2 linked regions of the Drosophila melanogaster genome follow. The protein of the gene in region 1 interacts with the protein of each later gene in a pairwise test. Each region holds a gene or a part of one and is shown on either strand. Other genes may lie near its edges. The genes, in order: GATAd and nod.

Region 1 (10,825 bases):
AGATCGCTTTCATTGCACTCCATGTCGGAGTACTCTATGTAGTCATCGGAAAGGGTATGCGCGAACTTTTGAAATCCTGGGTAGTTGGGGTTGGTGATGCCCTTTGTTATATAGATATCCATTCTTGGCATGGGCATTGGAATAAGTTGTCTAGAAGAAATAAAAAAGTTTAGATGACTTAAATATTGATTACAACTACAGTGTATTAATAACATAACATAATTAAAACATAGTAAAAGCAATAAAATGGTTTTTTTCTTATTTCCTTTTACTTGCTAAAGGACACCACTATCTCCACTCCACTATTTTCTTTAGTTCAACTCATTATCGTATTTATAAATTACTTTAAGAGTCAATTTGGTATTTAACTTCATATGTGTTTAGATGTTACATTGTCCTTAACAACACATGAATGAACTGACATTTTGTATATTCTTAAAATCGAGAAACAAGAATCAAGCCGAAAAAAGTTGGTGTAGGTGCAAATTTTTGTAACAGAAATATCTGAAGATAGTCAAAGTTACTTGCAATTATAATTTCTTGTATTTGCTTTATTTAAACGATTGTTTCGACTGTTAACAACTAAAATGTATTCCGTTTGTTTAAAATGTTAATTATTGAATCAATGAAGACTTACAAGGACTTCGGCCTTCCTGCATTCAGATGTAAAAATTACTCCCACACATATAAAGCAAATTACACGTTTGACGCATGCGCAAATCTTGGTATATAGTGTTGTTAACAATACTAAATATTATTACAAATAATTTAATTTACTAAGGAACAAAAAATTTATTAATTATTTATTATTTTTTTATATGCAAAAACTGAGAAAACAACTTAAAAATCGAAACTGAAAATGTCTCTGAGTTTTACCATGGCACAAAATTTTCTTTTAATGTAAACTTATATTATTATTATTTAAGGAATAGGCTTAAAACTTTTTGCTATGTTTTTTTCAAAGTTCTTAAAAAATCCCAATCCCAACAATTTATGAATACCTCTGATTAAATTTTTTGCACTCAGTATTTTTCTCATTTTGAGATATGGTAACACTTAAGCACAATGTGATTTAAAAAACCATAACATTGTATATAAAAGTAATAGAAATCCAAACACAACTAGAAAAATGAAATAACCGTAGACCTAACTAATAAGTGAATAATAATGATATTATTCAAAGGAATTCGGCGGGTGCAATCCCAGCTAAGAACGCCGGTTGATTTGGTGCTCATTCGGGTGAGGTTCTTGGCCATTACGCAACAAACCACTATAACAAACTATAACTTTCCAATAATTTTCAGTACTCCACTGCAGCAACGATAGCTTCCCAAGATGACAAAGGTGTCACTACAGCGTCGCCAGTATCCCAGGCGGGAAAGGTCCAGCATTTACCCGATAGTCAAATTACCTGGATGCCTAGTCCGTACACCATGCCCGGAAAAACTCTTAGCCAGTACAAGAAGCTATCCAAGTTCCGGCTGACATGTAAGCGAGATGGTTAAACATTGGCCAAGCATCGACCATAGTTGTCTTTCGTTGCAGCGCTGGTGGTCATTACAACGATGGGCGGCTATGCCATGGCGCCAGCTGCTTTCGATCCCACAACGTTTGCGATGTGCACCCTGGGCACAGGACTCGTTTCGGCTGCGGCGAATGCCATTAATCAGTATCACGAAGTTCCTTTCGATTCGCAGATGTCGAGGACAAAGAACCGGGTGCTCGTCACGGGGCAAATGACACCACTGCATGCAGTTACCTTCGCCGCGGTGTCGGCAACTGCCGGCTTAAGTATGCTGTATTTCGGAGTAAATGGATTGACGGCGGCGCTGGGAGCGGGTAACCTGTTCCTCTACACCACGATATACACACCGATGAAGCGTATCAGCATAGTCAATACCTGGGTGGGATCGATAGTGGGCGCCATTCCTCCGCTGATGGGATGGGCTGGTTGTGCAGCCACCCTGGACGCCGGCGCCATGATCCTAGCCGGAGTGCTGTACGCGTGGCAGTTCCCGCACTTCAACGCTCTGTCGTGGAACCTCCGGCCGGATTATTCACGTGCCGGCTACCGAATGATGGCCGTTACCAATCCGGGTCTTTGTCGCCGCACTGCGCTGCGATATTCGGTGGCTATTGTCGGACTTTCAGCCATGGCACCCGTACTGGACGTCACGAACTACTGGTTTGCCTTGGAAACACTACCTCTGAACGCGTACTTCGCCTACCTTGGTAAATATACTCATTAACCATGGAATCCTATATGTTATGTCTAATACGTTCTGTTTGCTTGCAGCGTACAAGTTTCATGAAAAGTCAGATAGTGGGAGCTCGCGGAAGCTGTTCCGATTTTCACTGATACACCTGCCCGCCCTGATGCTGCTATTTCTGACCAATAAGAAGGAATGGTATTTCAGCAAACCCGCCGGTGAGGAGAACAAAAAGGAGTCCACGTACAGTGCGATAAAGCATTCTGCTAGCAGTCTTGGTAATGTCCTGCCCGTCGCCGTAGCCGAAGGACCCAGATAGAAATATTAACATTAATTTGATAAAATGTTAAGTATCGTGTGAAATTTAAATATACTTAGTGTTCTGCAACTTGTAAAAACAGTCATTTAATATTAAGGAAACACGTACCCCTGTGCGGCAAATATATGTTGCGCCTAATAAATGACACGACATCCTTGAAAAATATGCGGTGTAACCAATCCGGCGCTGAATACAAATAAATTTAAAATATACAATTTGGCATGGAATCTTAAGCCGTACAGTAATTTAAATTGCAAGATTCTAAGTATGACCTTATTATATTGTTCTTTGAGCACTTGTTTCAAAAAAAGCACGGAAACGGTAAAAATTGTTAGTGGAAGTAATCCCGTTTCCCGTTGTTTCATCGGTTGTTGAAAATAAGGAATTTAAATCTATTTTATTTTGATAAATTGTAGCAATCGAATCGAACGTATTATTTAAGGCATTGTAAGGCATCTCTTCTTCAGATTCCAGAGTTTATTCCTTTGGAGGGTTTTTTTTCCAAGATTAAAAAACGACATGCGCATTTCCTAGGGATAAGTATTCTAGCTATTTTAGGAACTATATTCCGCAATTGAAATAATTTTAATAATAATAGTAAAATCCGTCAGATAAATAGTCAAAAATTTCTAGCTAAAAATGAGTATAGCTGTACGTTATCGATAACAGAAATACCAAAAAGTTGCCCCTATTTCAGTATATTTCACTGGTTCCTCTGCTGTATGCGTTGGTCTTACAAATGAAAAGAACAATATTTTGTATTGTGTTGCAATAGCCTTGATGTTTTATCACAGAAGCACATTAGCATAATCACTGATTTATCGCGATGCCGAGATGAATCATGCAGCTAACGCGACTATCGCTGGAGCCCTCGTTTGGTAATTTGAACGGGAAACTAGATCAAATGAGCGAAAAATCTGTGGCGAACCACTGGAGTGAATTATTTTTAGTGAGCTGAACGTGGATTGTGACAATGAAAAATTGAGGAATAGTGTTTACATTCATTTTATAATTTATTTTACCAGTTATCTTTTTTATCGCGATAAAGGAGAGGCGTATGAAAGTTTCTTTACACAGTGCAAAACGAATATAAATTTCTAATTATGAATAATGTACCACATAAGTTTCGTCAAGTTTGTCGATTGTGCCTCACATTGGTTAACGAGTGCGATGTTGCAGTACTACAGATTTACGATAATTCGTCGCATAATAATAGTGCCCCAGACAGAATATCGGCCGATTTTCGTGGCGTCGCGAATCGTGCCAACTGCTTTTGCAGCGCTTTAAGCCCCAATCCGTGCAGTTGCATCGTTGATAACCCGCTATCAGCCAACAAAAATGAACGGCGCAACCAGGGAACACCCGTACCCGTGCCCATACCCATACCCGTTTCCGTGCCTGTGCCCGTTCCAAGCCAGCAGATCCAATCGCAAACCCTTCACCATCACCAAAACCAAACTAAAATCCATTACACGCCAAGTGTGCCTTCTGCTGCGGACGCAAAGTCGAGTGAGCGCGAACGCCAATGCCAATTGGAGTCGGACATCGCCGAGAGATCAACAGTATTCAAAAGTCAGTCATCGTCGGATCACGAACATATAGAATATAGCGGGGAGACGCCATCCCCCTCCGCATCGCTATCCCAATCCCAAACAAAATCGGAGCCAATGCGCGAGGAGGAGGAACATCAGCATAATCATAATCAGCAGAGCGGACGCGAAGAGACAAGTGTGAATACAACAAATATAAGCGGAACCGATAACTACGGCAAAGAGCACGGTCGGGATGATTCATCATCACCACATCTTACATTTCAGATATTCAACTGTCTCTCTATTAAGGTAAGCAGATTTCCATCCAACACATTTGCAAAGAAACGAATTTACATTAATTACGCACATACACAAGCATGCTCTTACCTGTGTGTGAGTTGGATATATCGCGTATATGTACACGATAATGCCCGCACACACGCGCACTTTTGCGAGTGCTTGCCGTGCGCTGGTGTGTGTTATCTATGTGATTACGACACCACACGTCAAAATAATAGGAAATGATTGGGCCGCTTTTATCCCATGGCCTATTAACAATCGGTATCAATTGTTTGGTATTTTTTCGATGAACCATTGCAAGGCATTGGCCCAGGCCCACGCACACCACGCCACACTCGTACATCAGTGTCCAGCGCACGAATGTAAATATTGCTATGTACATACGTGTGTGTATATGCACGCATGGATGTATGTTAGAGACCTACATACATTAATCCACCAAAGAGATAACATTCGTTTCGATTGTTTAAGTGCGGATATACCGACGTACATACACCTTATATGGCCCCAATGTGTTTTTTTTACATACTTCGAGTACTTTCATTTGTTATTATGTATTTATTTATTTATTGATTTGATAATTTGTGCTCTTAATGCATTTCATGAGCTTTAGTGTTTATTTCCGTAGATGAACATATGTTATTTTTTTTTTTTTTTATCATTTTATAGGGTTGTTTTTAATTTTTTTCAATTAAAATAATTTGTTTCATGAGATTTACAGAGATATAAATTGTATACTAAAGTTTTAATACATGTATAATGATAAAATTGATTAAAATACAAATAGTTTTAGCTTGATTTATACAATATCAAAGCATCCAATGTTCTTCTTTTAGTTCCAAGTATAACCAGTCATCAATCCCATCGATCGATTTTGTTACCGCCTTGCTCCTTAGTCATTGCATCATTCTCATTGCTAGCCAACTGAATATTAAAAGTGGATACTGCAGTATAAGATACATTCATATTTCTTTCAGGCACTGCCCAACGATGGATTACCCAACGTGGTTTGTGGCGACTGCAGACAAAAATTGGATTCCTTCGAAAAATTTCGAACCATGGCGCACAATTCACAAATAGCTTTGAAAGAATTTTTAAATATATCCAAAAATCTGAGACCAGTAAGTATAAGTATTGATTGGAAGGAACTTAGTTAGTCATACGCCATTAAATTAAATGACCATTTGAATTACTACTCACGAACTATGTTTTTTGCAGGACCCAAATGATTTGGAAACCAAGCTCGATGCAATTTTAAAGGCTTCATCGGAGGCTATAGCGGCAAAGGCTCTGACGGAGTTAAGCACGTTCTCTAAAGTTAAGTACGACCACAGTAAATTGGATTCCAGCATCCAACCCGGCTTGGATCGGAAAATCGAGATTAGCAATCAAGAAATGCCAGCACATAGCTTATATCCAAGTTTATTCAAATCAATTACTATGAAAAGCGATCAAAAGAGCAAAGCAATGTCTGGATCCTCACACAGCCAGTTTGATTCAAAACTGCAAAAGGACTCGGATATCGAGAAATATGAAAATCTGCAGCAGCAGCTTGAAACGGCTGCCGTTTTAATGGATATAAGCAAAAAAATAGTAATTTCCCCTCCATGTTCGAATCCGCAATCTCCGTGTTTTTCTGCAGCTGTAGATACAAGTATTAAAAGTTCTGTGATAAAATCAAAACGTCCATCAAACCAAAATGAAATTCAGGACGGTGTTGAAATTGACCTATCCGTCAAAAAACAAAAGAACGATTACTCTAATCAACGGAACGCGGCCCCAATACACCATTTTTGCCAAACTCCAATGCTTGATATTCAGTCACACTTAAGAAGTGAAGAGGATTTTCAAAACTACAGTATTACCATTAACCAAGTTGGTGGGTCCGACTTCAAATCAAAAGCACCCAAGGCGAGTACCGGCTCCTTGCTAGACTCTGGCGATAGTTCCGACTCTCACAAACTAGAGATGGACATCACGTCCTCCATAAATGATAGAAAGACTCCGGATAGCTTAAGCTCGGATCACGCCACAGATGCGGCAACTACTCAACTCTGGCAGGCACTGGCCAGATCAGCCGGTACGTATTATTATCCGACCACTGACCGCATATTATTATGAAAAACATTTCAATTTGATAGCTAAAAGCAAGGAGGACAATCCGGCATCACAAATATTTCGAAATATGATGAGCCAGCCTTTCGCGTTTCCGGTTCCGTCGACAGTATCATTTACAAAAGTACCTGAAGAACCCATAGCACTATTAAAGGTAAACTATTTCTTCTATTTCAAGTAGCAAGTAGCTATAGGAAAGTCTAATACTCTTTGTGTTCTTAGGATCTATCAGAGGCTCAATCCAGCAAATCAAAACCATGTAGAAGAAAACAAAGTTTTCCTACCAAAACTGATTGCATCGATGTAGTTAATGAGAATGTGACTGATACTTATACCACTTCAGAAGCAACTCCGGATGATAAGAAAGATAAAAGGGTACGTTATCACAGTCATCCTCATTGAATCACATACTAATTATATTATTTCTTGGTTCAATTCCGATTTCGTAGAACATAAACCTTTTTAATGCCATACCTGGTGCTCAAAAAGATATGTCATGTTCGAATTGTGGCACCCTCACCACAACAATTTGGCGGCGAAGTGTTCGAGGAGAGATGGTGTGCAACGCCTGCGGATTGTACTTCAAGCTGCATGGGGTCAACAGGCCGCATTCAATGAGACGCGATACCATACACACCAGACGCAGGCGTCCTAAAGAATTGGAGCGATCTAAAAAGAGTGAGTGAGAGTTCGAAATTTATCTACATTTTTCGATTCGAAAGCTAGCCCTCTGTGACCCATAGATTTATTTATTTTTTGAGTATCTAACAATGAAAACAATTTGTTTACTTAATGTTTTTTTTTTATGTTCCCTGACCATTTTATTGTTGGTAATTAAATGTAACTTGCCAAAACAATTTATTTTTCTGTTAATATGTTCATTAAGCTATTGATTTAGCAATCGGAATATTAACCGCGTACCCACCCAAAATATTTTCTTGCTTGTCCAATCATATTTTATGATGTCATTGTTGTAGATGGCATTGGACGTGCCTGTTAAGTCGTTAAACTGCTCAAGTTTGAATAAATATCTACGAGCCTTTCATTATTAATTGTATGATTTATTTGCGAAAATTATAAATATACACTTTCTTTTGCAGAACACAAACAAATGTCATCATGTTCTTCAATAGAAACAACGAAGCAAGATTTCTTGACGGCTAGGGAATCTCTAGCCATTTCGGGCCTTGTTTTAAATGTATGTATCTGCACTATTACTTTAAAGTCTTGATAAGTAGATTGATCAACTAGATCTATTTGCATAAGATTTAAATACACTTAAACTTCAATTTTCTAATATGTTTTTATTTTAGAAATTCAAAAAGGAAATTGATGATACCGAGACCCCAGCCGCAGCAGCACTTAAAGATATTTTATCAAGGCGTAAGAAGTCAAATTCTTTGCCGGCGTTTAATGATACCTGTGAAAGTGCGGATCTATCCGCACCGCTTAACCTTGTTTCCAGTGAAAATAATGCAAAGTTAACATAAAACGCCAAATATATTCCCCCTACTCACTTTTCGAAAAAAAAAGAAGAACCTTTAACCCACATTTTGTTTATTTATGAGGTCGCGTAAGAGAGAAAAACAAATGGTATAGGATTAAAAATACGTATAGATTATTAATAAAATTTTCATTCTTTAAAACTAAATTTTATTCATTTGTATCTTTAAAAACTAATACCAAAATACTTATTAGTGTAAAAGAGGTATGAAAATTGAACCAGTATGTCAAAACTTTTAAATAATATCACACTAAATATAGACCTTAAGAGAGGACATCAATACTTAATGCAATTAAATTAAAAATAAAATTTATTATATTTATATTTATTAAAACCATTTTACAGTATTTTTAATTTTTTAATAACACAAATCGCTTCTATTAAAATGAAAAGTTCAGTTTTAACAATGATTTTTCAGCTGTCTTTGCAATTGAACAACTTCTAAAGCTAAAAAATAATAATGTTTTAAATCTCTTGCCTATACGAAAATCATGTGATAATATAATAATCTCCACAAAACATTTTAATAGTAAAACTATGCAAAAAGCAATAATCACGCAATGCAAACTTTTCAAGGAAATATTTAAATTATATACAATTATAAGAAACTAAAAAACTTAATGCTGTTTTCGAATCTACATAAATTGTCTAAATAAAATAAGGACTTCATAATAGGCTAAGATACAAAAAATATTACTCATTTATTTTTTCAAATAAAATACTCTATACAATTTTTAACAATCACAATAAAACTGGTTAATGTAAAATGAAAATCCAAATTCTACTGTTTTTTTTTAACTATTTGCCTGGGGTATGGGATAAGCAACCGAAAAATCTGTTAAACTAATGATGAGAATTTGAAAAAATATATATTAAAGATATTTAAGTATCTTAATTCGAATAGAAAGGGACTTACATTTTTACCGCCGACTGTTCAATGAGAAATGCTGTAAGTGGAAACATGCTGTTAGACTCCCGAATTATCGATGTAGTACAACAAGCACTCGCATCGATAGTCCCATCGTTTACTTTACATCACCAGGCGTTGTTTTGGTATCAGATCAGATCCATTTGTTATTGCCAGCCAGCAGCATGTTGGAGAACGGTTCGCACTTCTTCGAGGGCGTTGAGAAACTCCTTGAGATTTGGTTTGAGGAGAGCTCCAACGGTGACGATGATCTGCGTAACATCAGCAGGTGAGTCCCTCAACAAGTGCGGAACCCAAACAGCCGACATGTCCTTTGTGCACAAGTGCATGCACAGTTGCGGGCAAAAGTATACGTACATATGCGCCGTTCATTTTCGTCCTGAAAAGAAATGAAATGTATTTCTACACTGATAATTATCTTTTAAACATAACATAGTCCCATTGGAATAGGTTACACATTGGTTTTTAGGCTTATCAGATGCGGCACACGTGTACCTACCCAAATTAAATTGAAGTTTTTATTTATGATTCTCAAGATATACAAATTTGATTTGAAATTTCAAGAAATTAGTTATTAAAGGGAATTTCTTTTTAAACTGGCAGCCTGTAGAACTTTGTAAATTCACTTAGAATTAAGCTTTCAAAAATCGGTCTTAACCCTTGGCCTTGTTTGATAACGAGTTTTAATCAATCCCATTAATCCAATCCTCATTATCTCAAAATAAATTTTGGTCGAGGCATTGTGTACATGTTTATTCAAATAGCCTTGAACTTTTAATGAATGTAAATGATATTTTTCAGATCTGATTGGGAAAACGTGCTTAGCAATGTCAACTGTCAAATAATAAGCACATCCAAAAACGACATTATTGATGCTTTTGTGTTAAGGTATGCGAATATATAAAACTAAACTTAATAAAATATTATTAATTATTTTAAATTTGTATTCGGTGCGAGCAGTGAGAGCAGTATGTTTGTTTCAAAGCGACGATGGATCCTTAAAACTTGTGGAACGACTACTCCATTGAAATGCCTGGGTCAGTTGCTTAAGCTGGCTGAGGCCAATGGATACAATGTGGTCGCAGACTTGTTCTACTCGCGAAAAAATTTCACTAGACCGGAGGCGCAGGTGGGCAAAAAAATTAATTGCATTTCAAATGATTTTATATCATATATATTCAGATAACTCCCCATCAAGGCTTTACGGAGGAAGTTACGTATCTGGACTCAATTTTTCCCAACGGAAGATCCTATTGTCTGGGCTCCATGAACCTGGAGTGTTGGTACCTCTACACTTTTAGTCGTTCTGATATCAAAATTACGCCCCAACTTATATCGGATGAGAAAAACGTTGACTCCGATCCAGATCAAACTATTGAAATATTAATGCAAGATCTAGATCCCGAAACCATGTCAATCTTCTATAAAAACAAGTTTAATGATGCTAATGGCGCTACTGTGGTATGAGGATATATTTTAAATGATTAAAACCAATACATATAGATTGTGATTTCAGAAATCTGGTATCGATACCATATTGCCGACTATGCACATTGATGACTTTTTGTTCGATCCTTGCGGCTACTCCATGAATGGAATCAACGATAAGGTAACATAGAAAAATTTTACAAGAACTATTGACATAAATTCTTTATAGGGGGAGTACATGACAATTCATATTACTCCGGAGAATCAATTTTCGTATGTGAGCTTCGAAACAAATGTGGCTCTAAGTAACTATCGTAAACTTATCAATCAAGTAATCAATACTTTCAAGCCGGGAAAGTTTATTGTAACCATCTTTGCCAATAAGGTAAGCTGTTGCTCCACTTTTTGTATAATTATTTAAAATAATTTTCGAATATTGTGGATCAGTGCTCGTTGGCCTACGAAACTATGAAGGAACTGGAAGTGGAG
Region 2 (10,456 bases), on another chromosome or scaffold:
AGAAACCAAACTGCGCGACTGTACAGTGTGACCAGCTGCCGGAGCAGCACAAGTGGCCCTCTACCCAGAATTTGTGAATAAAAATAATCAAATCCCGCATGCAACCCAATCTGGCAACGCTGAAAGGGAGTTAAATTTGAAAAAAAAAGTTAATGAATATTATTTATTTGGTCACTTTTAATAAGTCATTTATTTGAAAGTTTTTCTTTTTTGACTAGTTTTTTTTGTTTAATACTTTTATAACAATCAATTTGTGCTTTAATTTAAAATGCCAACTTGTTTTGTTAATTTAATATATTATATAATATATCCTAGGTAAGCCTATTTAAAAAATAAATCACATATATAACTGTTTCTTTAAGGATATCCGGCTCCTTTTTTTTTACTCCTACTATAGTTGTAAAATCAAAGTATATGCCACATAAATAACAATCACTATACTATATTCGAATTAAAATGCTATTTAATTAGTAATTGTATCAAGTGTCAAGACAGTTAATTTGAGAAAATCGTTTCCATTTATTTCCCGACCAAATGGGCAGGGATTTGACTTCAATTAGATTCTTGAAGCAACCCAGGCGGGATCTGAAAAATGTGGATTAAGGATTAAGGGTTATTGGGTAAAACGCAAATGAACGTATGTCAACTGACCTGTGCACGGCCAAAATAGAGGCGGTCTTTGAACCGATCCCTGGAATCTCCTGCAATTGCTTAACGTTTCCATTGTTAAGATGGCCCAGTAAACATTTAGTATTATTGGCCATCCAGGCCTTGGGCGCAGGTTTCACTTTTCGCGTGCGTTTCTTTTGGACTGCACTTTGAAGGCGCGTCCCGTTTTCCACAACAACGGAGGTGGCATGTTCCCGGATTCCCGCCAGCCGCGTGCTGCGCCGCAAATTCATAACCTTGGGAATGGCTCTATAGTTCTGCGAACGCATCCTACCCGCTAGACGTACGGAACGACGAAGGCATGGCTGCTGTGGCGAAGCCACTACTGTCTCCTCCATTAGCTGGATGCCGCTAAGTTCTCGCTGAGAACTGGATGCCCGCAGACTGATTTTTTTTCTTTAAAAAATATATTCTATAGCTTGATATTATTTTGGTTGTTATATCATGGCTAGATTAATGAATCAACGCTCGGGAAACCCAAACAGAGTATTTTGATGTTTGAAGCGAGGGAAATCGGATAAGATTTCCAGCCAAAAGAGAGTAGGAATGTGTATGGAATGCCGATTTCCAGCGCCTTGTGTTTGGATTGGATTGGCAGCTTATCTCGTATGCTAATCGTATGATCATACATACCTATATACATATATATATATGAATCTGCCCAAATCAACCAGAAGAGAGTGCTAACTAAACTAGAATCGAAGCGGCCGAAACTGATGGATTCGTAGATAGAATCCCCCTGTTGAGTGAGTGCGAAGAGTGAAGATCGCCGCCATAGCGGATCGATGCTCAGATGATTCATCGAACTCAACTTTCACCGAGGGTGAGAAGAAGACGGCAACAGGGCAGACCACCACAAGCACAAGCAACTTCATTCACACGCACGTATGATTGTGTAGGTGTGAGTGCCGCGAAGTGCCGGCTGAGTGTTTGTTTTTCGCCAATTTCCCATGCATTAATATGGTACATGAATTAACCACTATGTGCTCTCCAAAATGACTTGAAAACTACTAGAAATTTATTATTCCCTTACCTAAATCCTACATTTCCTGTATTCTATCCGATAATAATGTGGCATATTCCGTCCGAAATCGTGGGATAGAGCCCATTCTCGACGTCCCGCTGCTGATGCAATTGCCGTTGCTGGGTGGGCGTTTGGCTCTGCTGGCGATTCACTGTTTTCACGGTCATTTTTACGGCCACTTCTTGTTTCGCTTTTCGATGGAATGCGACTGTTTGAATATCGAATTCGGAGAGCGGAAGTGCCGTTACCGTTAGCCAAAAAGTGAAATTACGGTGCTCATTGGCCGCGGTTTGATTTGATTTGCGATAAGATTAAGAGCGGGCCATAAAGCGCGTAGCACCTAAAAACAGCGGAGCGAACTAAAAAAAAAATAACAACACCAACCGTCTTCTCGCACCAAAGAAACCAAACTGCGCGACTGTACAGTGTGACCAGCTGCCGGAGCAGCACAAGTGGCCCTCTACCCAGAATTTGTGAATAAAAATAATCAAATCCCGCATGCAACCCAATCTGGCAACGCTGAAAGGGAGTTAAATTTGAAAAAAAAAGTTAATGAATATTATTTATTTGGTCACTTTTAATAAGTCATTTATTTGAAAGTTTTTCTTTTTTGACTAGTTTTTTTTGTTTAATACTTTTATAACAATCAATTTGTGCTTTAATTTAAAATGCCAACTTGTTTTGTTAATTTAATATATTATATAATATATCCTAGGTAAGCCTATTTAAAAAATAAATCACATATATAACTGTTTCTTTAAGGATATCCGGCTCCTTTTTTTTTACTCCTACTATAGTTGTAAAATCAAAGTATATGCCACATAAATAACAATCACTATACTATATTCGAATTAAAATGCTATTTAATTAGTAATTGTATCAAGTGTCAAGACAGTTAATTTGAGAAAATCGTTTCCATTTATTTCCCGACCAAATGGGCAGGGATTTGACTTCAATTAGATTCTTGAAGCAACCCAGGCGGGATCTGAAAAATGTGGATTAAGGATTAAGGGTTATTGGGTAAAACGCAAATGAACGTATGTCAACTGACCTGTGCACGGCCAAAATAGAGGCGGTCTTTGAACCGATCCCTGGAATCTCCTGCAATTGCTTAACGTTTCCATTGTTAAGATGGCCCAGTAAACATTTAGTATTATTGGCCATCCAGGCCTTGGGCGCAGGTTTCACTTTTCGCGTGCGTTTCTTTTGGACTGCACTTTGAAGGCGCGTCCCGTTTTCCACAACAACGGAGGTGGCATGTTCCCGGATTCCCGCCAGCCGCGTGCTGCGCCGCAAATTCATAACCTTGGGAATGGCTCTATAGTTCTGCGAACGCATCCTACCCGCTAGACGTACGGAACGACGAAGGCATGGCTGCTGTGGCGAAGCCACTACTGTCTCCTCCATTAGCTGGATGCCGCTAAGTTCTCGCTGAGAACTGGATGCCCGCAGACTGATTTTTTTTCTTTAAAAAATATATTCTATAGCTTGATATTATTTTGGTTGTTATATCATGGCTAGATTAATGAATCAACGCTCGGGAAACCCAAACAGAGTATTTTGATGTTTGAAGCGAAGGGAAATCGGATAAGATTTCCAGCCAAAAGAGAGTAGGAATGTGTATGGAATGCCGATTTCCAGCGCCATGTGTTTGGATTGGATTGGCAGCTTATCTCGTATGCTAATCGTATGATCATACATACCTATATACATATATATATCAAATATGTATGTATGTATATACCAAATCAACCAGGAGAGAGTGCTAACTAAACTGGAATCGAAGCGGCCGAAACTGATGGATTCGTAGATAGAATCCCCCTGTTGAGTGAGTGCGAAGAGTGAAGATCGACGACTTCAATAATCAATGTATATATATATGTATATTGTCTAAAAATTATATGCCAAGAATAAAAAGTGTCAAAGTGTAAAAGTCCTATTATTATTGTTATTGACCTAAAAGTTATTTTACTTTAAATCAAAAAATGCAATTAAATATTAGATTACATAGCGCTTATTTAATAGGTAGTCTAAGCTATCATCAAATAAATTATAGTCGAAAACAAAAAATAAGTAAACATCTTGAGAAATATTACACATACACATATATAACTGTTTGTTTTAGGATATCCGGCTCCTTTTTTTACTCCTACTATAGTTGTAAAATCAAAGTATATGCCACATAAATAACAATCACTATACTATATTCGAATTAAAATGCTATTTAATTAGTAATTGTATCAAGTGTCGAGACAGTTAATTTGACAAAATCGTTCCCATTTATTTCCCGACCAAATGGGCAGGGATTTGACTTGAAAAAGATTCTCGAAGCAACCCAGGCGGGATCTGAAAAATGTGGATTACGGATTAAGGGTTATTGGGTAAAACGCAAATAAAGGTATGCCAACTATGTAAGTAACTTACCTGTGCAAGGCCAAACTAAAGGCGGACTTTGGACCGATCCCTGGAATCTCCTGCAATTGCTTAACGTTTCCATTGTTAAGCAGGTCCAGAAAACATTTTGTATTATTGGCCATCCAGGCCTTGGGCGCAGGTTTCACGTTTCGCGTACGTTTTTTTTGCACTGTACTTCGAAGGTGCGGTATCGCATCCGTCTCGTTTTTCACAACAACGGAGGTGGCATGTTCCCGGATTCCCGCCAGCCGCGTGCTGCGCCGCAAATTCATAACCTTGGGAATGGCTCCATAGTTCTGCGAACGCATGCTACTCGCTAGACGCACGGAACGACGAAGGCATGGCTGCTGTGGCGAAGCCACTACTGTCTCCTCCATTGGCTGGATGCCGCTAAGTTCTCGCTGAGAGCTGGATGCCCGTAGACTGATGGGACTGATGGTGGTGTTGAACAGCTGGCAGCGTACAGTTGTGGGCACCGTGGGGGCAACCATTGACTGTTGCACCTTTGACGATTCCTTGGGCTCGGTCTCTTCGACAATGCCCATTAGCGTAGAGTTCTGGCTGCTGGCTTGCCTTGGCTCTTGCCCTGTTGGGGGAGGCATTAAATGCCTATCCTTATCGCTATCGCTATGGAAACCCAACAGACTCAGACTGCTGTCCTGAATGTGTATAGACGAGAGCTCCAGCGTGGTCTCCTCCAGCTCCAATAGCTCGCGAGCCCTATGGAGGAAGATATGGGAGGATTAGATCATCTTCGCTTTTGGTCCATTCCGTGTTACTCACCTTTTCTTAGCTTTGGGCGTCATGCCAAGTTCGGAGCGAGTTCGATGGAGCACGGCGCTCAGCGGCTTGGTTGTGCTATATTTGGATTTTGGAACCACTATGCTATTATGATTGGCTGCGTTTGACTTGATGGCCGTCGAGGTGCATAGCGCTTGGCGGAAGACGTGTGTTGTCCGTGCGGCCAGCGATTGCTGCAATCAGAGCAAGATGGGTGGATGAAACTCGAGTAACTGCATCGTTCGATTTGCGGTCAGTGCGGTTGGAATGAGTTCGGTTCGGTACGGCTTGGTTTCTCTATATAAACGATCCACACTCGCGGCGGTGGCGTAGTGTGCCATGGAACAGCCCAGTGAGAAGACGCAGGAGGGGGAGCAGAAAGATCGCCAAAGTCAGGAAGTGATAGAAGTGGCATCCGATCAAGGAAATTCACCAGACTCAACAGAAAGTTATCCAGATGTCGATCAGAAGTCACCTAAACGAATTGATGTTGAGGAACCAAAGGAGGAGAACTCAAATAACAGCGAAGCAGTGCAGGATTTAGAAGATAATCGTGTGAAAAAGGAGGAATTGGTGGCAGAGTTGGAGGAACCGAGAGGTGCTGAGGTGGAGCACATTGAAAAACAACTAGCCAAAGAGATTGATTCGAAAGTGATCGACAAACAAGAGCTCAAAGGCATAGAGGAGCTTGATAAAAAAATTCCCCAGTTGAATCAAACATTTGGAGATCAGTTGTTGGAAGGAGATGATGAGCCTGAGGCGAAATCAAAGGATGAGCTGGCAGAGAATGCGGACAGGGAAAAACTAGCAGAAATCTCTGCGAGTGAGATTCAGCTCACTGGCAACCTAGCAGCTCCAGCAGAGCAAGTTGATCAGAAGGAAGCCGAACCAGATCCACATGAAGACACCGAAGATGAACGAAATGGGGAGGTGAATAGAGAGCACCCAGACAGGATGGAGAGTCCTGTAGAGCAACAAGAGGACACAGCCAAGCCAGACGAAGATCTGCCCAACGAGCAGGTTACACAGTTCCTTCGCCAACTGGTCAGCCAGCTGTGGCCAGAGCTGGGCGCCAATCCGGAACTGCGTCTGGAAAGGGCGAGTGCCAAGGGCGACAACTATTTGGGCGTGGTGTGGCGCCTACAGGCGGCATCCGATTCGAAACGCAGCCTGGTGGTTAAACTGCCGCCACAGAATCGCGTGCGCCGCAAGCAATTCTTTGCACGACCATGTTTCCTGCGCGAGACGGCAGCATATGAGGTCTTTCTGCCGCTGACTGCGTTAATTCAGGATAAGTGGAAGATAATCGGAGATGATCGTTTCCGGCAGCACGCGCTCTGTTTCGGAACTCGCCAGGATGAGCCCAACGAGTGCATCGTGCTGGAGGATCTGTCTTGTGCCGGCTTCTCACTGCACAATCGCTTTCTCGACCTATCCGTCGAGCATGTGCGTCGCGTAATGCTCACCTATGCCAAATTACATGCTATATCATTGGCCGGGAAACGGCAGTTGCCCGAGAAAATGCAACAACTGCAGCAGCTGGTGGATATCTTTGAGCAGCGACGCGATGATCATGCCTTGGGGGTCTACTTCGAGAATCTGAAGGAAAGCGCCCTATCCGCACTGCTCGCACCGGCGGATGATGCATACAGAGTTCGTCTGGAGGCGTACTTCGCCAGAGGATCGTACTTTGAGCTGCTGCTGCCTTTGGTCAGCGGATTCAATTGCGAACCCTTCGCTGTTATTTGCCACGGCGATTGCTGGAATAACAACATTCTCTACAAGAGTACAGAGCGGGGCGAGCTCGAGGACGTGCGCCTGATCGACTGGCAACTGATGCGATATGCCTCGCCGGTCACCGATCTAGCTTACTTCCTCTTCACTTGCACTTCGCGGCGATTCCGGCAGCGACACCTCGAAAATATGCTCGAGGATTACTATGAAGAGTTGGGCCTGCAGCTGATTAGGTAAGTAAAAGTATAAGAATCCTAGAGCTTCAACTATTGTATTGTTGTGTTCGCAACAGACTAGGCGAGCGGGTGGAGCAACTTTTTCCCCGTCCTGCATTCGATGAACAGGTGGCTACCAAAGCGGCTGTGGGCCTGCTTCTCGCCATGATGGTTCTACCCATTGTAACGATGCAGGGTCAGGATGTGCCCGACCTTCAGGCAATTAGCGAGCGCATCGAGGCGGGGGCCACTACGGATCTCCATGGAGCTGGTTTCCTGGGCGCGGGCAACGAGGCTACATTTAAACAGCGTATACGCGAGGTGATCCTCGACTGTGTGGACTTTAATTACATATAGATGGCTCACCTTCTGGCGCGCCACTTGCATCGGATTCAGCCGAAGCTTCTTGGCACTGGTGCCAAAACGCAGGGTGGACAACGTCTCGCTGAGATCGCATTGATGCGGACTGATGCAGGCCAGAAAGGTCAGATACGACTGCGCGGTTAGCGAGGCTGCAAAGAATGAAAACGGCAAGAAGTTGCAGTCAATATTTATAGTAGTCACTAAGTCGCTAATCAATAAAGGCTTGAACCCAAATGGTCCACTAACTAATTGAGCATGAGACGATCCAAAACGTAGCACTTACCCTGCAGAACTGTGGTAAGGACGCTGTCGCGGTATGGTATCACTGTGTGGCCCGCCGCCATGGACATCACCACCTTGTTGATGCTCAACAGGCCCAGATTGATGTTGACGCCCTCCTGCCTGGCCACGCCCTCGTGCCCAGTTCGCCGCACGCCTTCTGAACCGGCCAGATCCACAATATTCATCCGCGAGTGATGGGTTTTACTCTTCACGTGAATGGTGACTATGGCATGGGATCGCGAACTATTGGAATTCATATTGGTGGGACGAACGCGTCGATTGCGAGTGCCTAGCTCCAAGATGTGATGCAGATCCGCCTGGCTGTGCAAAGGAAGGCAGGTGCATCGCTGGCAACGCGCCGCCACCATGGGCATATGTGGCGTGGAGCCCAGCAGATCGAAGGGTTTCTCATTGTAGATCTCTATGAAGGAGGCGTACACCTGAATCGCATCCTTGTTGTTCTCCTGCCGGGCGGTCACGCGCTCAAAAATGTCGCCCAGGGCGCGAGGCAGAATACCCAGGTGCTCGGGCAGTATCTGTAAAGGAATAGAAGCGATAGATCAGTGGGAAAGATTTAAGCCACTGATGGCTAAACGAAAAACCCACCTCTCCCGGAGGTGTCATGCCCATTGAGTAGCTCTTGCCCGTTCCCGTCTGGCCGTAGGCGAGTGCAGTGCACTGGAATCCCTCGAGCAGCTTGTCCACCAGCGGCAAGATCAGCGCCTGGTACATCTCATCCTGGCTGATGGTCGCGGGAAAGGCGTGATCGAAGTGGAATTCATTCTGATCCACTATTAACGACTACAAAGCGAGATGGCGGTCATATACCGTTAGACATGCACATGGCCAATGGTGGGGCACATACCTTTCCGTCGCTCCATGGCGGAAACTGGACGACGCTGGGCTCCCGACGCCCCAAGAACTGGCGGTACGGCGCCTCGCGGACCGCAATCCGAACTGCGCTTAATTTGGCGCCCTCCATGCAGATTGAAGAATTGAAGTTGTTTGAATAATGCACAATTGGCTTGCATTCACCGTAATTATTTTACTTTTTTGACGAAGCCAAGCGACCTTTGCATTTCAAATTGATTTTGGCAGTGTGACCGTCGCGGTAATAACACTAAGAACGATCTGGGTTGGTGTCATGGATATTTACATTGTGGCTTGTGACCTCGCTTTTGGTATGTGTATGTTGTAGGGGCCATCTCTAATTTAACTTAATCTTGCTAAAATACTGCACACAACTTAACATGTTTTGCAAACATATCGTGCACAATGGCATCGCTATTGTTCATGAGCATAACATTACAGAACTCTGTTAATGCGCCACCCTTGCCAGCCCTGGCCTGCGCTGCCACCCTATATGATTATAGACACACATAGCAAGTGCGGAGGATCGGTATTGCCAACTTATTAAAACAGGAACAAGAACTAACAAATTTGATGGAAAAAAAGCCGCTTAAAACAGTATTTGCAATAGCAGATAAGTCTTTATTTGTCATATGTAATTTAAGTGTCAGTTCTGGTCACCCTGGAAACCAAGGTGGCAGCCCTAAAAGCATCTCGAATTTCCGTTACTTTTAGCGCCAACAAAATGGCGGAAATGTATTTGCAGTTAATTAGTATTGCCATCTCTCTCTAAGCCAGCACCGTTCGCCTTCTCTTTCTTTTCAAGACTCGTATACGAGAGAGATCGCCTCTCTATTGTCATCTCGCTCTAAATCGATCTGTATTATTTGGCAATTGTTAAGTTTCGTATAACATTTCACTAGTTATATGAAATTTACCAATTTATTTTGTATTTTGACTGGTTAAGGCGCGTAAAACGTTACCCATATATGCATATATATTTGCTTAATTTGCAACATTTTACACGTCTTTTAAGACTTCAGTTTGCATTGCGACTTGTACAATGTTGCGTTCCAAGACACATTTTTTTGTCTTGTATTGTATTGTATTGCATATTGTATATTGTATATTGTATATCATTCATTTTGTTTTGTAGCTTGACAAGCGCGTCAACCATGAAAACAATTCGTTTGTGATTTCCAAATAGTCGTACTCATCTCACTGTCCGTAAGACAATTCAACTTAAACATTTTCGACTATGCGGAAATCGTTACTCTTGCTTGATTTTGCTTCGGAGAACGTTTCGAACGATTATCAATGTGATTCGAAACGATCTCTAAAGCTATATGTAACACCAATTTACCCTTTCGATGGCCATCCGAGCTACCTAAACGAAAGAGAAGAGGATGGAATTAGGATTGTCATAGGCGCAACGTGTCGGAAAATCTAATTCAATGGATGCTACACTGGTTGGATTTGGATTTATGTTTTATTTTTTTGGAGAGGATCTCGGAAGTAACGTACTCACTTGCAGCTAGTTGGAGACTGAATGGAAAAGCGAGGGAAAATTGAGCGGGTGTTATTAATAGGTCACCACCATTTTGCTGCCAGAATTCGAGTTCAAGTGTGTATACGTTGCACTGCGCGGAGTACTCACCAGCTCGATGGGAACTGTACCAAGTGGATGGATTCTAAACACCCCGAACTTCTTTTTTGTGTTAAATTTATGCGAGTGCAAGGCAATCGGAGAAAAACAAGAGCAAAATGCCAATTGAATGAGTAATCAGTGTGTATGTATACCAGAAAATAATGAACTCAACTGCAAACGTGTCTTTTCAGTGTCTTTTGGATCAAAGGAAGTGAAGTTTTCAATTTAGAAATAATAGCAACCAAACTAATACCTCTAACTAAAGCTCTTTTTGTTTCGCTTACCTAAACGCTCGACTTATGATATAAAAAGTAGCCCTAGCTTAGTGTGACCAGGCCGCGAATGCCGCAACATCTAGCTGCTCTAGCCCTTGATATTTTCGAGTTTTGGCCACACTAATGACTGCGAAAATACCGAATAAAATATAGTGGGAACTGCATGAATGCGAAAATAGCGGGATTCCAATACCGAATAAAA

The links.
Region 2: the proteins of GATAd (region 1) and nod interact in a two-hybrid assay, tested with the Drosophila melanogaster proteins (one large-scale study listed by BioGRID).

The regions. Positions count from the first base shown.
Region 1 is NT_033779.5:10,330,443-10,341,267, forward strand, and holds GATAd (GATAd), read left to right. Parts: upstream 1-3,471; 5' UTR 3,472-3,632; coding exon 3,633-4,370; intron 4,371-5,338; coding exon 5,339-5,482; intron 5,483-5,579; coding exon 5,580-6,441; intron 6,442-6,502; coding exon 6,503-6,630; intron 6,631-6,698; coding exon 6,699-6,851; intron 6,852-6,925; coding exon 6,926-7,154; intron 7,155-7,576; coding exon 7,577-7,674; intron 7,675-7,789; coding exon 7,790-7,966; 3' UTR 7,967-8,743; downstream 8,744-10,825. Other genes in the region: Schip1 (schwannomin interacting protein 1), read right to left, coding at 1-137; Cox10 (cytochrome c oxidase assembly factor 10), read left to right, coding at 1,168-1,239, 1,305-1,488, 1,546-2,232, 2,297-2,529; SamDC (S-adenosylmethionine decarboxylase), read left to right, coding at 9,073-9,176, 9,710-9,796, 9,869-10,037, 10,091-10,369, 10,425-10,517, 10,566-10,721, 10,784-10,825.
Region 2 is NC_004354.4:11,578,932-11,589,387, reverse strand, and holds nod (no distributive disjunction), read right to left. Parts: upstream 8,617-10,456; 5' UTR 8,465-8,616; coding exon 8,348-8,464; intron 8,284-8,347; coding exon 8,089-8,283; intron 8,019-8,088; coding exon 7,484-8,018; intron 7,432-7,483; exon of another isoform or gene 7,350-7,431; coding exon 7,204-7,349; exon of another isoform or gene 7,195-7,203; coding exon of another isoform or gene 6,915-7,194; intron 6,856-6,914; coding exon of another isoform or gene 5,228-6,855; exon of another isoform or gene 5,213-5,227; intron 5,083-5,212; coding exon 4,892-5,082; intron 4,829-4,891; coding exon 4,118-4,828; intron 4,040-4,117; coding exon 3,934-4,039; 3' UTR 3,638-3,933; downstream 1-3,637. Other genes in the region: pkm (pinkman), read left to right, coding at 5,228-6,855, 6,915-7,194. UniProt on the Drosophila melanogaster protein: Required for the distributive chromosome segregation of non-exchange chromosomes during meiosis. May be a microtubule motor required to hold distributively 'paired' chromosomes at the metaphase plate until anaphase.